Linked DNA regions of Lonchura striata. The protein of the gene in region 3 interacts with the protein of the main gene of each other region in a pairwise test. Links are inferred from orthologs where the notes say so. Each region holds a gene or a part of one and is shown on either strand. Other genes may lie near its edges.

Region 1 (3,746 bases), on a different chromosome or scaffold from region 3:
CCTAACTCAGAAATCAGTGTAGCTGCTATAAAAAATTCTGCTGTGAGCTGTTGCAGCATTTCCAATTCTGATGTGTGCATAAACACATCTGATGATATTCACTAAATTTGATCCAAATGTATTGGCATTTGAATTCATAATTTTCAGTAAAAAATTAACTTGGCAGAGGAACTTTACAAAACTTTAAGGAAAATACTGCATGAGAAAAGCAAAGGTACGCTCAATATCAAGTTAGTTCTCCATGGTTCTGGATTAAGCAGCTGCACTTCTTTCTATTAATTATGTTTCTAGTCAGCTCTTGGACCTTAAAATGTTCATCAAAGGTCACTTTCACAGTCCACAGCCACAGTTCTTCAGAAATTCAAATTGGATATTTCATCCAATCTCCTCCTGAAAAGTGTCTGCACTGGGTAGAACTCTTAAATTCCCATATGATGGCAGGCCAAGCACAAATAGCCCATATAAAATATTTTCTCTTCTGAGGACATTTTCTGTTTTCCTGTGCGGGATCCTGGAGCTCAAATAAAGAAGGATACTCCCTGGGGAGTTGCCATAGTAACCTGTGATGTGGTTTTGTTGTCTAAGATTACATATAAGCAAGGGAGCAATTACAGAGAAGAATTTTATACCTGAGTTTATAATTTTCATATAACACCAAAGCTGAACTATACCTTCAAGTTCCTAAAGCAGCAGCAGTCTCCTTGAGGGTGATGTCAACTTAGTAATTTTCACTGAAAGAGAATTTAAATGCTGTATTTATTATTCAAGAATCCTGATTACAAAAAAAAAAAAAAAAAAAAAAAAAAAAAAAAAAAAAAAAAATCCATTTCTGGAAGATGTAGCAAATAAGAAAGACTTCATTAGAAATGTAAAGATGTGGAAGTGGAAATGGCTGCTACAAATAATATCTAAACCTGCATGTGCGAATGTCTTCTATATTCTATTTTCTTCTTACTTGGATTCAGCTATAATCTGCTCTTAAACTTATAGTCAAAGAAAAACTTCATGTTGTCCTTGGAAAATAACTTCAAATCCCACAGCACATGCAAGGACGAGATTTTTGAATGTATCTATATCAGTTCAGCAACAAACAGAATTTGAAGTTTCAGAATAAAAGCAAAATTTGTTTTAAGAGGGTGTGATGGAGAAAGAATCCGTCCAAACTATTCTCAGTTACGAGCATCAAAGGGAGATCGGGAAGTCTGGGTTCAGGAAAGGGCATGGGAGCCGAGCTAGCAGAAAGGTCATTTCCATGAGAAGCAGCCCAGAAGAGCAACGCTGGGAGAAGCCCAAGCCAGTCTTGTGAGAACAGCGTGAAGTGAGCTGTGCAAGGAGGGCGTGCAGGAGCTCCCATCCCCTGGAGGCTCCTGGGGCAGGTGGCTCCCATCAGTGCCCGGTGCCCGGCCGGGGAGGCGCTGGACACGCCGGCAGCAGCGGGAGCTCAGCGCGGCTGCGGCGCTCGGCCCCGCGGAGAGGGAGCGCCGCGCCCACAGGTGAGCGTGTGCGGCTCCTAGTGCCCCGCTCCCAAATGCCCAGCCTGCCTTGGCGTGGCGGGGCTGCCCCGCAGCTGGCTGCCTTGCTCATCCGCCCAGCTGCCCAGCATTTCCTGGGATTATTCAGAGATGGGGGGAAAAAATATATATGGGAGGCACTGAGATCTTGAAGGGTCCCTAAAGCTTGGGTCGATGTCTCCCTGGCAGTGCAAAAGAGCTGACAGAGCCACTGTCAATTTAATTGTCCCCCAGATAATGTCGTATATATTATACATTTCTGTTTATCCTGAAAATGTGCAATCTAAACACTTTCTCTGTAAGTGACTTTAAGAACTGTAGCTGTTTGTCCATGATAGGCATGTGGGTCCAGGCTTCTGATGCTGGATGTGTTCTGCATCTTCCCTGGTTAATTAGAGGTCTGTTCCCTCTGTGGCTGACTTGCCCTCTGCCCCTTCACCCCTCACCAGGCCCAAATTTTTTAGGGCTTTTGGGGGAAAAAATGGGACTGGGCACCTCAGTGGAATGGGATGTGTTGGAAAGGCTGCAGGGGAAGGGTGTAAGGGAGGGAGCAATGCATGGCTCTGGACATAGTGTAAGTGGGAAACAAAAGTCCAAAACAGAGTTTTTGGGAAATACCTTTTTAGCAGAAGAATGATGTTATGAAAACACAAGTCTGACATGAGATAAAGCAGCAGATGATATGGAAGACAGCCCTGAAATTCAGACAGTAAACAGATTGCAATAAAATCAAACGTAAATGCACAGAGACCTATATTGCAATAACCCTCTCCTAAATGAAGGAATTTTGGATTTTAAATGACACAGTAATTTTATGAGTGGTTGGACAAATTTGGGAAGGGGGTACAGGATGCATCTCTGGATGTTTGCTCTAACAAGTATCTTGGAGGAGCCTGGACATGCAGTGCTGTTTGATGAAATGACAGGGAAAAGGGAGAGCAACAGGAAAGGGCAACAATAGGACAGGAGGTGCACACTGGGATGACAGAGCTGGAGGCTATAAGGGGCTCATGTGTGGTGGTCACCCTCTGCTTAATGCTTGGGGTAGAAACATGAGGGCAAGATTCACGAAGGTAAAACTTTCATCACAGACAGAAAGGCAGAACTGGGCTTTCCAAGGGACAGCAGGGAATCTGCAGGACCTCAGCAGGAGGAGAGGAATACACCTGAGTGAAATCTGACAAGTAGCTTTATTTTTTTTTTCACCTAGAAAAAGGAACATTTGTGCTATTAGAAACTCTGTGCAGAAACCCTGAAAGTTCCAGCAATTTGGTTATAAAAAATAGTTCAACCTCAGATCAAATAACTTCATCATGAAAATCACATAAATTTAATATTTTTTTTTTAATTTAGATGCAGAAAACAAGCTTTTCTTTAGCACAAAACAATAATTTTTGATTGTCTGGTTGGTTGTTGTTTTTTTTTTCCCCCCACATAAAAGACTGAAATCCTTAATTTGCCCCAGTTCACTCATGGTTAAAAGATAGTTTAAACTGCAATATTTTGGGTAGAGGAAAGGAGGGGAAAGTATTCAACAGTTAAGTCTGAGGTTTCTGTGTCTGAAATGAGAAGCATTAGAGGTTTGGCCCTACAATATGGATTTTAGAGATGAGTTTTCTGATGATGTGAAAAAGAGGCAGATGGACTGTAGGAAAAAGATAAGCAATCACCATTGCAGGGCTAGAAAGCAAGAAAAATAACAGAACTATCAAAGAATATAAAGAGTAAGAGTGACAGGAAAAATGAGAATGAAAGGTGGAGAATTATCTATGGGTTGTGACAGTTTTTGGACCATGGTGAAGGGAGCTTGTAAAAAACCAAGCGAAGAACAACAAATCTCTGATGTCCCAAAGCTTTGGTTTGTGCATATTGTGGAATTTAAGATCAAAAAGCAAAACTGTCACTGCATTTTTGTGGCATCCTGTTAGCACAGGCTACTCAGCATTAGCAATAAAAAACTCTCAAGGCCAGATTTTTTCTATGAACCTTTAAAAATGCTTTATTTTAAAAAGGTTTTTTGAGCCTCATAACAATTTTTAATGTGTTTGTGCATCAGTCATTTGGGAGCAGGCTATTCTGAGGCAGAAAATAGTCTTGCATTTTGCTCCCTTACAGGTCTGTAAAAATGAGGTAGAGAGATAAAGGGGAAGTGCATGCTTTAATAAGAAAGACTTTAGTACTGCCATTGTGCTGCTTTATCTACCAATGCCATTTTTCTCAGCTTCTATCAGCTAG
Region 2 (3,746 bases), on a different chromosome or scaffold from region 3:
ACGCCAGCTCCACAGGCATTTGTGGGTCTGAGGATCCCTGTCTGTGCAGAAGGAAGTATGTCCTCGTGGCTGTTCCCTGACAAACACACACACGTTACATGGACACTGCCTGGGTCTCCGAATGTGTGTGTGTGTGTGTGACTATAGTCAAACACACGCAAGGTAAACAAATGGTAATGATTAACAAAGATACTGGTCTCTATCCCCAATTTCAACTGCAGAAAAAAAATTGTTCAAAAAAAAATTTCAAAAAAATTGCACGTCCTGAGGTTCGTTTTTTATTGCTTCCCATTTCTACTGCTTGCTGTTATCTGCATGGCAAAAGGAGAGCAGTGTATTGATTATTTAACTAGAATGTTTACAAGAGCAAAGCTGGATCTCTGAAAATGAAACCTATGCCTAGGGGCAAAAAAAAAAAAAAGAAAAAAGAAGGGAGTAGAGAAGCTCATTCTAAGGATGATGGTTGCCCCAAATGACTTGTTTATATATAAAATTTATACAAATATCTATATTTATAATGCAGAGAGACTTCAGCTAAGAAAAAAGTCCCCAGCAGGAAAATGAAAGGGCTTCTTTCTGCTTCAGAGAGTTTACAAGCACTGTGTTCATCACAAAGTTCAGAGAATAATCAAAATCACTCGCTTATAAATTTCTATGTGTAAACTTAGTGAGGCACATGAAATACTTGAATCTATCGATTGCATGAAAACAACAAATGCATGAGCATGATGCCAGATCAAATTTGACATCAGAAACAGTAACAGTTTCCTCAGGTAGTTGAACTAAGTTAATACAGTACACGTGAACAAAACCAATTTTGTCCTATTATTGTAATGCTAAGAAACCGAAGGAAAATGCCAAGTATTCCAAGTCTGAAAAATTAATTGCATTAAAGATGACCTTGGAGTAGAGCAACCTAGCCAATTTCACTTTCTAGTAAGGAAGCATTCTAGTTTCAGAACAAGGATTGCAAGTGTTAAAATAGTTCTTTTCTGCATTTCCAAATTTTAATTTTCTCCGATCTTTTAATTCAAGTGTTCTTTCCTGTCCTTCCTTTGCATGTATGTTCCTCAGCCCACTTAAATGTTTTTATCTTGCCTTCTTTTCTATGCCTTTACTATCAAATTCAGTAGGTTTGAACGATGAACAGCTTGACTTAGCATATTTTTAACCAGCTGGTCTAGCACCTAGCTTGTATTGCATAGTCAGATACAACCAAATGTTTATACAGGAGAAGACAAGAAAAACCTCACGAAGACAAGAAAAACCTCAGTAACACGCATCCTGGCATTCTTTCGTTTACTGCTTAGAAATGAAAGTTTGGACTGTTTACTGCAGCCGCACATGGGGCTATTAACCTTTAAAAGAGAAGCCGGAGGGGAGGGATGCAGGACCATGAACGCACGGACGTACAAGCACCTGAGAAAACGCTTCCAAACATCTCAGGAGAAGCAGATCATATGAAATAAGGACTGAACTCTCGGAGGTCACAAGCCACCAGCAATGACAGCAAAAACTTGATTCCAAGCAGGGAAGGCTGCTGCTTCGGGCAGGGGGAGACGGGCACATCTACGTCATACCCGAAGCCCGCTCGTCATACCCAGACCCGGCTCTTGACACTCCGCGAGAGAGGCGACGGCCAAAACTTGGAGGCAAGAGTTTCACTTTTTCCCTTTCTTTTTCCCTTTGGGTTATTTTTCCCACCTCTCTCTCCTCACGCAGAAAGATGTTCTCCTGACGGAGGGCTGGGATGTTAACTTGCCTAAAAATAATAGCTCCTGCTAGATCAACAAAAGGTCATGTGCTCGGCAGAGCGCCTTCCCAAGTTTGACGGGAGCCTGAGGCTGGAAGTTAGAAGATGCCCGGGAGCCTGGCCGCCACCGGGCATCCTCCGACCGCTCTGCGGGAAGTCCCCGGGCAGGAGAGGGGAGGTTGTGCCCAGGAAGGTGGCTCGGCCGCCCGGCTGGGCTAGCGGAGGGTGTGCGGCAGGAGGGCACGGCAGCCTCTGCGGCCCCGGAACAAAGCTGCGCGCCGCGGGCGCTCCGCCCGGGGCCGGGGGCTCGGCGGCGCCCGCCACCCCGGTCAGTGACACGGCGCCGGGGCGGCGAGGGAGCGCGGAGGGACGCGGATGGGCGCGGGGGGAGCGCCTCTCTGCCCGGCCTCCTGCCGCCGAGCGCCCGAGTTGCGCGCCCGTCCCCGCGTGTCCGTGTGCCCGCTGCCCATCCGCGCACACGTGCGCCAACGGGCGTGCTCGGATAAATTAAAAAAAAAAAAAAAAATGGAAATAATAATGCAATAACAAAGCACGAAACAGAACGGGAAAGAAAACACGGGGAAGAGACACCCCCACACACATACATACACCCCCGCCCCAACAACTCGACTCACCTTTCAAACTCCTGAGGTAAATCAGGGTCAGTTAGCATGCTGGAAAAGCACAATTTCCCTTTGTCACAGCAGCCACCTATGGTCGCCTCCAACTGAACCTGTCAAGTGAGTCCAAACCTTCTAAACCGATTGATTTTCTCTCTCGCTCGCTCTCTCTCTCTCCCTCCCTCCCTCTCCCTCCCTCCCGGCTCGCTCGCTCTGAGCGAGGACTCCTTGACCAGTCTCTTAAAGGGGCAGCGCGCTCGCAGCACGATGAGCGCGCAGCTCCCCCCGCCGCGCTGCGCGACCTCCGGGGGCCTGTCCTTTTCTTTTAATTCTGCTCGCCCGCCGCCGCCAAACGGGAAAAGTCAACTCCTTCAATGTCCTAAAAAAAACAAAAAACGTGGAGGGGTGGAGGGGATAAGGGGGGGGGGGGGGGGGGGGACGGGGGGGGGCGGGGGAGAGGAGGGGAAAAAGAAAAAGCAGTCCGACAATCCACCTAAACCGGCAAACCAGGAGCAAATCCCCTACGCTGAGGAAGATCAGTGGAGAAAGAAGATAAAACAAGAGCAGACTGATTAAATTGAGACAGTTATCAACTCTCGGAGTTGAAATAGAGGAGAAGAGATTAAACACATAAAAATGTTACCAAAGGCATTTGTGCTCCAAAGAATTTTCATTCCTTTTCCCCCACCCTTCCCGGTCTCTCGCTTACCCTCTTTCTCTCTCTCTTTGGGTAGGGGAAAAAAAAAAAAATCACCCGCACAACAATCAGGCATTGTTCTGAAGGAAGAAAAGCAACTTTGACAGATTGAAATATAGCAGAGGCCCCTTCAAGGAAACCTGTAAACAACTTGTCACTCACTCTGTCGGTCTCACTGTTAGCTCTTGCTTTCCACAAAGTGCTGCGAACCGTCCCGGCAACAAACCCAAAGTTTCCTCAGCTCCAAACTCCATCAAATAGCCCTGTTGTGTGCAAGGGAAAAGGTAGCCACATGCCAAAACAGCGGGCGCGCACACACGGATGTTCAAACAACAACAAAAATAAACTTTCTGTTCATCTGTTAGGGCTTTTCTCGTTTTCTGTTTAATCACACCCCCCCTTTTCCCCCCGCTACTCTCCGGGCGAGCAGTAGAAGTCCCTCGGTCGTGACTCCCTCTCATTTCCCCTGCCCAGACAATCCCTGATAACAAGGTGGACGAGGCGCGGCTGCAGAGCCCCTGGGCTGGCTGGCGGAGCTCAACCTCCGCCGCACTTCCAATTATCCAGATAACAATCTGCCAGGCGAGGAAGGCAGGCAGGTAACGGGCCTCGGACACGCGGGGACAGCCCCCGCCTCGCCCGGGCACAGCCGCATCCCTCTCCGTGCGGCGGGCGG
Region 3 (3,746 bases):
GTTTCTGTGCCAGGGGCATGGGGACACGGAGGTGATCCTTCACAGCCCCCTTTCTCTGGGGTGAGTGGCTAGAGCAGCTTGTCCTCCCCATGTCAGTGGCTCCCTATCACCCCTCACCATGTGGCTGGCTCGTGGCAGGGAGTGGAGCAGTGTCTCATGGGGGGTCTCTGAGACAATGTCCAAGAGGGACAGTCCAGGATGAAAGGACAAGGCTAAATCCTGCTCCAAACCTGGTCAGGAGTGAGAAAAGGCTGGGACTGAGGGAGGGCAGGTGGTCTGCGGGGAGCACAGCACAGGGCTGGCATCAAACCCTCCTTTCCCAAGGGACAGCCACTCCTGCATCCCCAAACCCTGGTGGGACACAGGTCAGCCTGCCATCGGCATGTGGATGTGAGCCATCAGCACGGGGCACCCGCTGCCACCACCAAGGATGCCAAGTGCAGCTTTGTCATGGGAAATATCCGGTACTGCCAGTTCATAACTGTGAACAAGTCATGAGTGACTTGTGTCACCCAAACCAGCCATTACTGTGAGGGCTGTGTGTGCAATACAGGGAGGCAGATACAAATCACACCCTAAAAATGCAGGCATTTCTGTTGCCTTTCTGACACCAGGGCTTTTGTAGAGGTCTTGGCATGTAAGGCTGTTTTCTCCAATGCCTCTGGGTTAGGAAAAGGTTGTTTTTCATGTGATATCTGTGTCCCTGGGACAGATGAGCCTGGGGTGCCAGCTGGCATTGCTGCCAGTGGATGCTTGGGAGCGGTGGGGATGCGGCAGAGTGTGAGGGCATAGTTTGGGTAGGCGGGTCCTCGGTGTGTAGGTAATCAGCACCACTGTCCCCATGGTCCCCCAGGGTCACCGTGATGAGTGATGCCAGGAGGGGTGCACAGGTGGGATGCAGTTACACTGGGACTCCCTGAGGAGCACCGGGTATGGGGTGGGAATGGCAGAGACACACGGGGAGTACCGGGGACACACCGGGAGCCCCCAGCACTATAGCAAGGGAGGGTCAGGGGAGCACGGTGGGGGCGGGCCGCCCTGGGAAGGGCACGGGGAACACCGGGGCTCCCCTGTGCTTCCAGGGTTCCGGCCAGAGGGGCCGGGGTGCCCCGGGGAAGCACCGGGAGCCCTCCGGAGCCCCGCGCCCCCGCAGCCGCCGCCGCTGCCCGATGCGGGAAGGGGAGCCCCGCCTCCGCCGCCCGTCGGGGGTTTCACGAGTTTCCGTGGCAACGAGTGCGGGGCGGGGCTCGGCGCTTCCGTTACCGAAGTGCCGGGCAGGCGGGGACGGGCCGGGGCTGGTGCCGTGTGTCCCGCTGCTGCCGCCGCCCCGCGCCCGGTGAGTGGCCCCGCGGGGCGGCACCGGCGGCACCGGGGAGCCGGGCTGCACCGGGCAGGACCGGGGCTCCCTCCCTTTGTCTGCGGGCTGGGAGCGCTGGCACGGAGCGCCCGCGGCGCGGCGAGAGCGCGGCTCCCCGTTAGCCCGCGGCGGGCGGCGCCACCGGGAGCGGGAGCGGGAGCGGGGCTGCGCCTGCTGCTCGCTGGCACCGGCGCCGGGACCGCCCCGCTGCGGGTCGGGAGCAAAGGAACCCCGCGGTGTGCTGGGCGGCTCCGTGTCCCGTTCCCCGCCGAAGCGGCCCCGGTGAGGTGCGGCGAGCGCGGAGCGGTGTGCGCGGAGCGGAGCGGGCGGTGCCGAGCGGAGCGGTGCAGTGCAGGGCATTGTGTGCGCTGGGATGCGGTGGGTGCGGTGCGCAGGGCTGCCCGTGGTCCCGGAGTTCCTAACTCCCTAAAGGCAGCCCCAGCCCGAGGTTAGGAGGGGCCTGGAGAGGCTTCAGGAATGAGTAAATTAATTACAGACACCGTTTATGTCACATCCGCTGGGAGCACGGAGGGAGCCCGGGGCTGTCGCCTTTTCGGGAGCAAAAAACGGGATTGATGCAACTTCCTGCGGGTTTCGGGAGTCGGAGCCGGTGTTACCGTCGTGTTTTGCTCCAGAACGTCCCACTGGGATTTACAGCTGGGCACTGAGACCGGCTGAGATGTCCGTCCTTGCGCTTCTCCGCAGAGGTGCCGCTGTTCTCGGGACCCCCGTGCCATGATCACGTCCCGCACCGCCTGGCATCTGGGATCCGGGCCCTCCGCCGGAGCCGCCTGGAAGACCAAGGACCTTGCCCCGGACGGTGAGTACAGCACGGTGCCTTGTCCTTGCCCCTTGGGGCTCAGCCTGCTGCACTCACACCCTGCTCACTGGGGAAGGAGAGGCTGAGAACAGGCCAGCCTGCATTTTTCACATTTCTTTCCGGATGAAGGTCAAGATTTGAGAAACGGGGACTCAGAAGCAGGCACAAAGCTCTGGGCAGCGTGCTGGTGAGAAGAGAGGGCTGCCTCCCTCTCTCTCCTGGCCCTTCCGAGCGGGAAACTTAGGGAGAAAGGTTAAAATTTAACATGTGAGGTAGAAAATAGTGATCTGCATGGCAGGTTGAATGTGGGCCCTTTGCCTCTTCCCAGCCTCAGCTCCTTGGAAGGGCTCCTTATCCCTCTCTGGCGCATGGACCCCATGGGTGAGTATAGTCGAGTTTTGCTCTGTGGAGGCTGAGCTGCCTTGCAGGCAGGCGGGCAGCTGCTTGTCCCAACCTGCAACCGCTTGTTGGGAAACAGCCCTTCCCACCTCCCTCACCGATGGTGCTGAATGGGTTTTGGCAAAGGTGGAGGCTGAAACCCCAGTATTTGAACTTCTTTTGCTTTTGGCTTCAGCATTTGCCATCCCCCTGTGCTGGCAGCCACTTCTCTGGACGCAGCTTCTTCTCTGGCACTTGGGCCAGTCCAGCCAAATGCCAGCTGGCACCAAAGCCTCCAAAGTCAGGGTTTTCAGCTCTTTCTCTGCCCAACGGCTGCTGCTGCCCATACAGGGATGGGAAGCTCATCACCTGTTATCCGGGCATTTGCTGGCACTTTGGAAATGCTCAATTTTCATGGCGTGTGCAAAATGTTATGGATAATTAGAGGCTGGGAAGAAGTCCAGAGTGATGGACTAACTTCATAAGGGCACTTCTCCCTCCAGACATCAGTTCCACCTCCAGCCCAACTTCCTCCAGGTGGCTTTAGAGGAAAAAGGCTGCATTTTTGAGGTTTGATTTGTGAGCAATTGATTTTCTCTCTGTTAGCTGGAGAAGAGATTTGGCCACCCGCAGTGGTGGCAGCACTTGTGGCAGATAGGTGCGGGGGGCACAGGGTCCCCAAGCAGTGGGATGTAGCCCTTGCCAGCTGCTTTTCCTGTAGCAGAGCAGGACACAACCATGGGAGAAAGCTCCTTGAGTTGCTGTTTCCTTCTGTGTGGCTCAGCAGGACAGGGAAGTGCTGCCCTGGCTGCTTTTGGGTTTGGCTGCCTGACAAATGAAGGAAATATTTGGGGTCAGTGGAGGGAGGTGACACCGTCAGGGTCTGACTGTCTGGTTTTGGTGATGCAAGCTGGCTTTGGCAGCTTTTCCGAGATGGGATCGCAGGAAGTGGAGCAGCTTGGCAAGGGGTAGAGCTGGGATATCCCTGGTGGGGGACAGATCTGGTCCTGCAGAGGCCAGTCGGAAGCTACACCCTGAATTCTCATTACTAGTCATTGGTAACCAGTCTCCACCCCCCAGAGGGCTAATTTTTCTAATTAACATAATTAACATTTTTAATAAAAGTCATGCATTGTGTCTGCCACACCGGTGTGGTGGCGGCAGCAGGGAGGAGGAGGAGGTGGGTTTGCT

What was found.
Region 1: the proteins of KIFC3 (region 3) and CBY2 interact in binary tests that used the Homo sapiens proteins (3 or more experiments, as listed by UniProt). The two-hybrid records come from large-scale screens. The link is inferred for Lonchura striata from reciprocal best matches to the Homo sapiens genes KIFC3 and CBY2.
Region 2: the proteins of KIFC3 (region 3) and SOX5 interact in binary tests that used the Homo sapiens proteins (3 or more experiments, as listed by UniProt). The two-hybrid records come from large-scale screens. The link is inferred for Lonchura striata from reciprocal best matches to the Homo sapiens genes KIFC3 and SOX5.

What each region holds. Positions count from the first base shown.
Region 1 is NC_134604.1:61,121,249-61,124,994, forward strand, and holds the start of CBY2 (protein chibby homolog 2), read left to right. Parts: upstream 1-1,141; coding exon 1,142-1,302; intron 1,303-1,376; coding exon 1,377-1,493; intron 1,494-3,746.
Region 2 is NC_134607.1:14,598,050-14,601,795, forward strand, and holds the start of SOX5 (transcription factor SOX-5), read right to left. Parts: upstream 2,571-3,746; 5' UTR 2,427-2,570; coding exon 2,389-2,426; intron 1-2,388.
Region 3 is NC_134615.1:17,417,096-17,420,841, reverse strand, and holds the start of KIFC3 (kinesin-like protein KIFC3), read left to right. Parts: upstream 1-1,286; 5' UTR 1,287-1,336; intron 1,337-2,062; 5' UTR 2,063-2,092; coding exon 2,093-2,177; intron 2,178-3,746. UniProt on the Homo sapiens protein: Minus-end microtubule-dependent motor protein. Involved in apically targeted transport. Required for zonula adherens maintenance.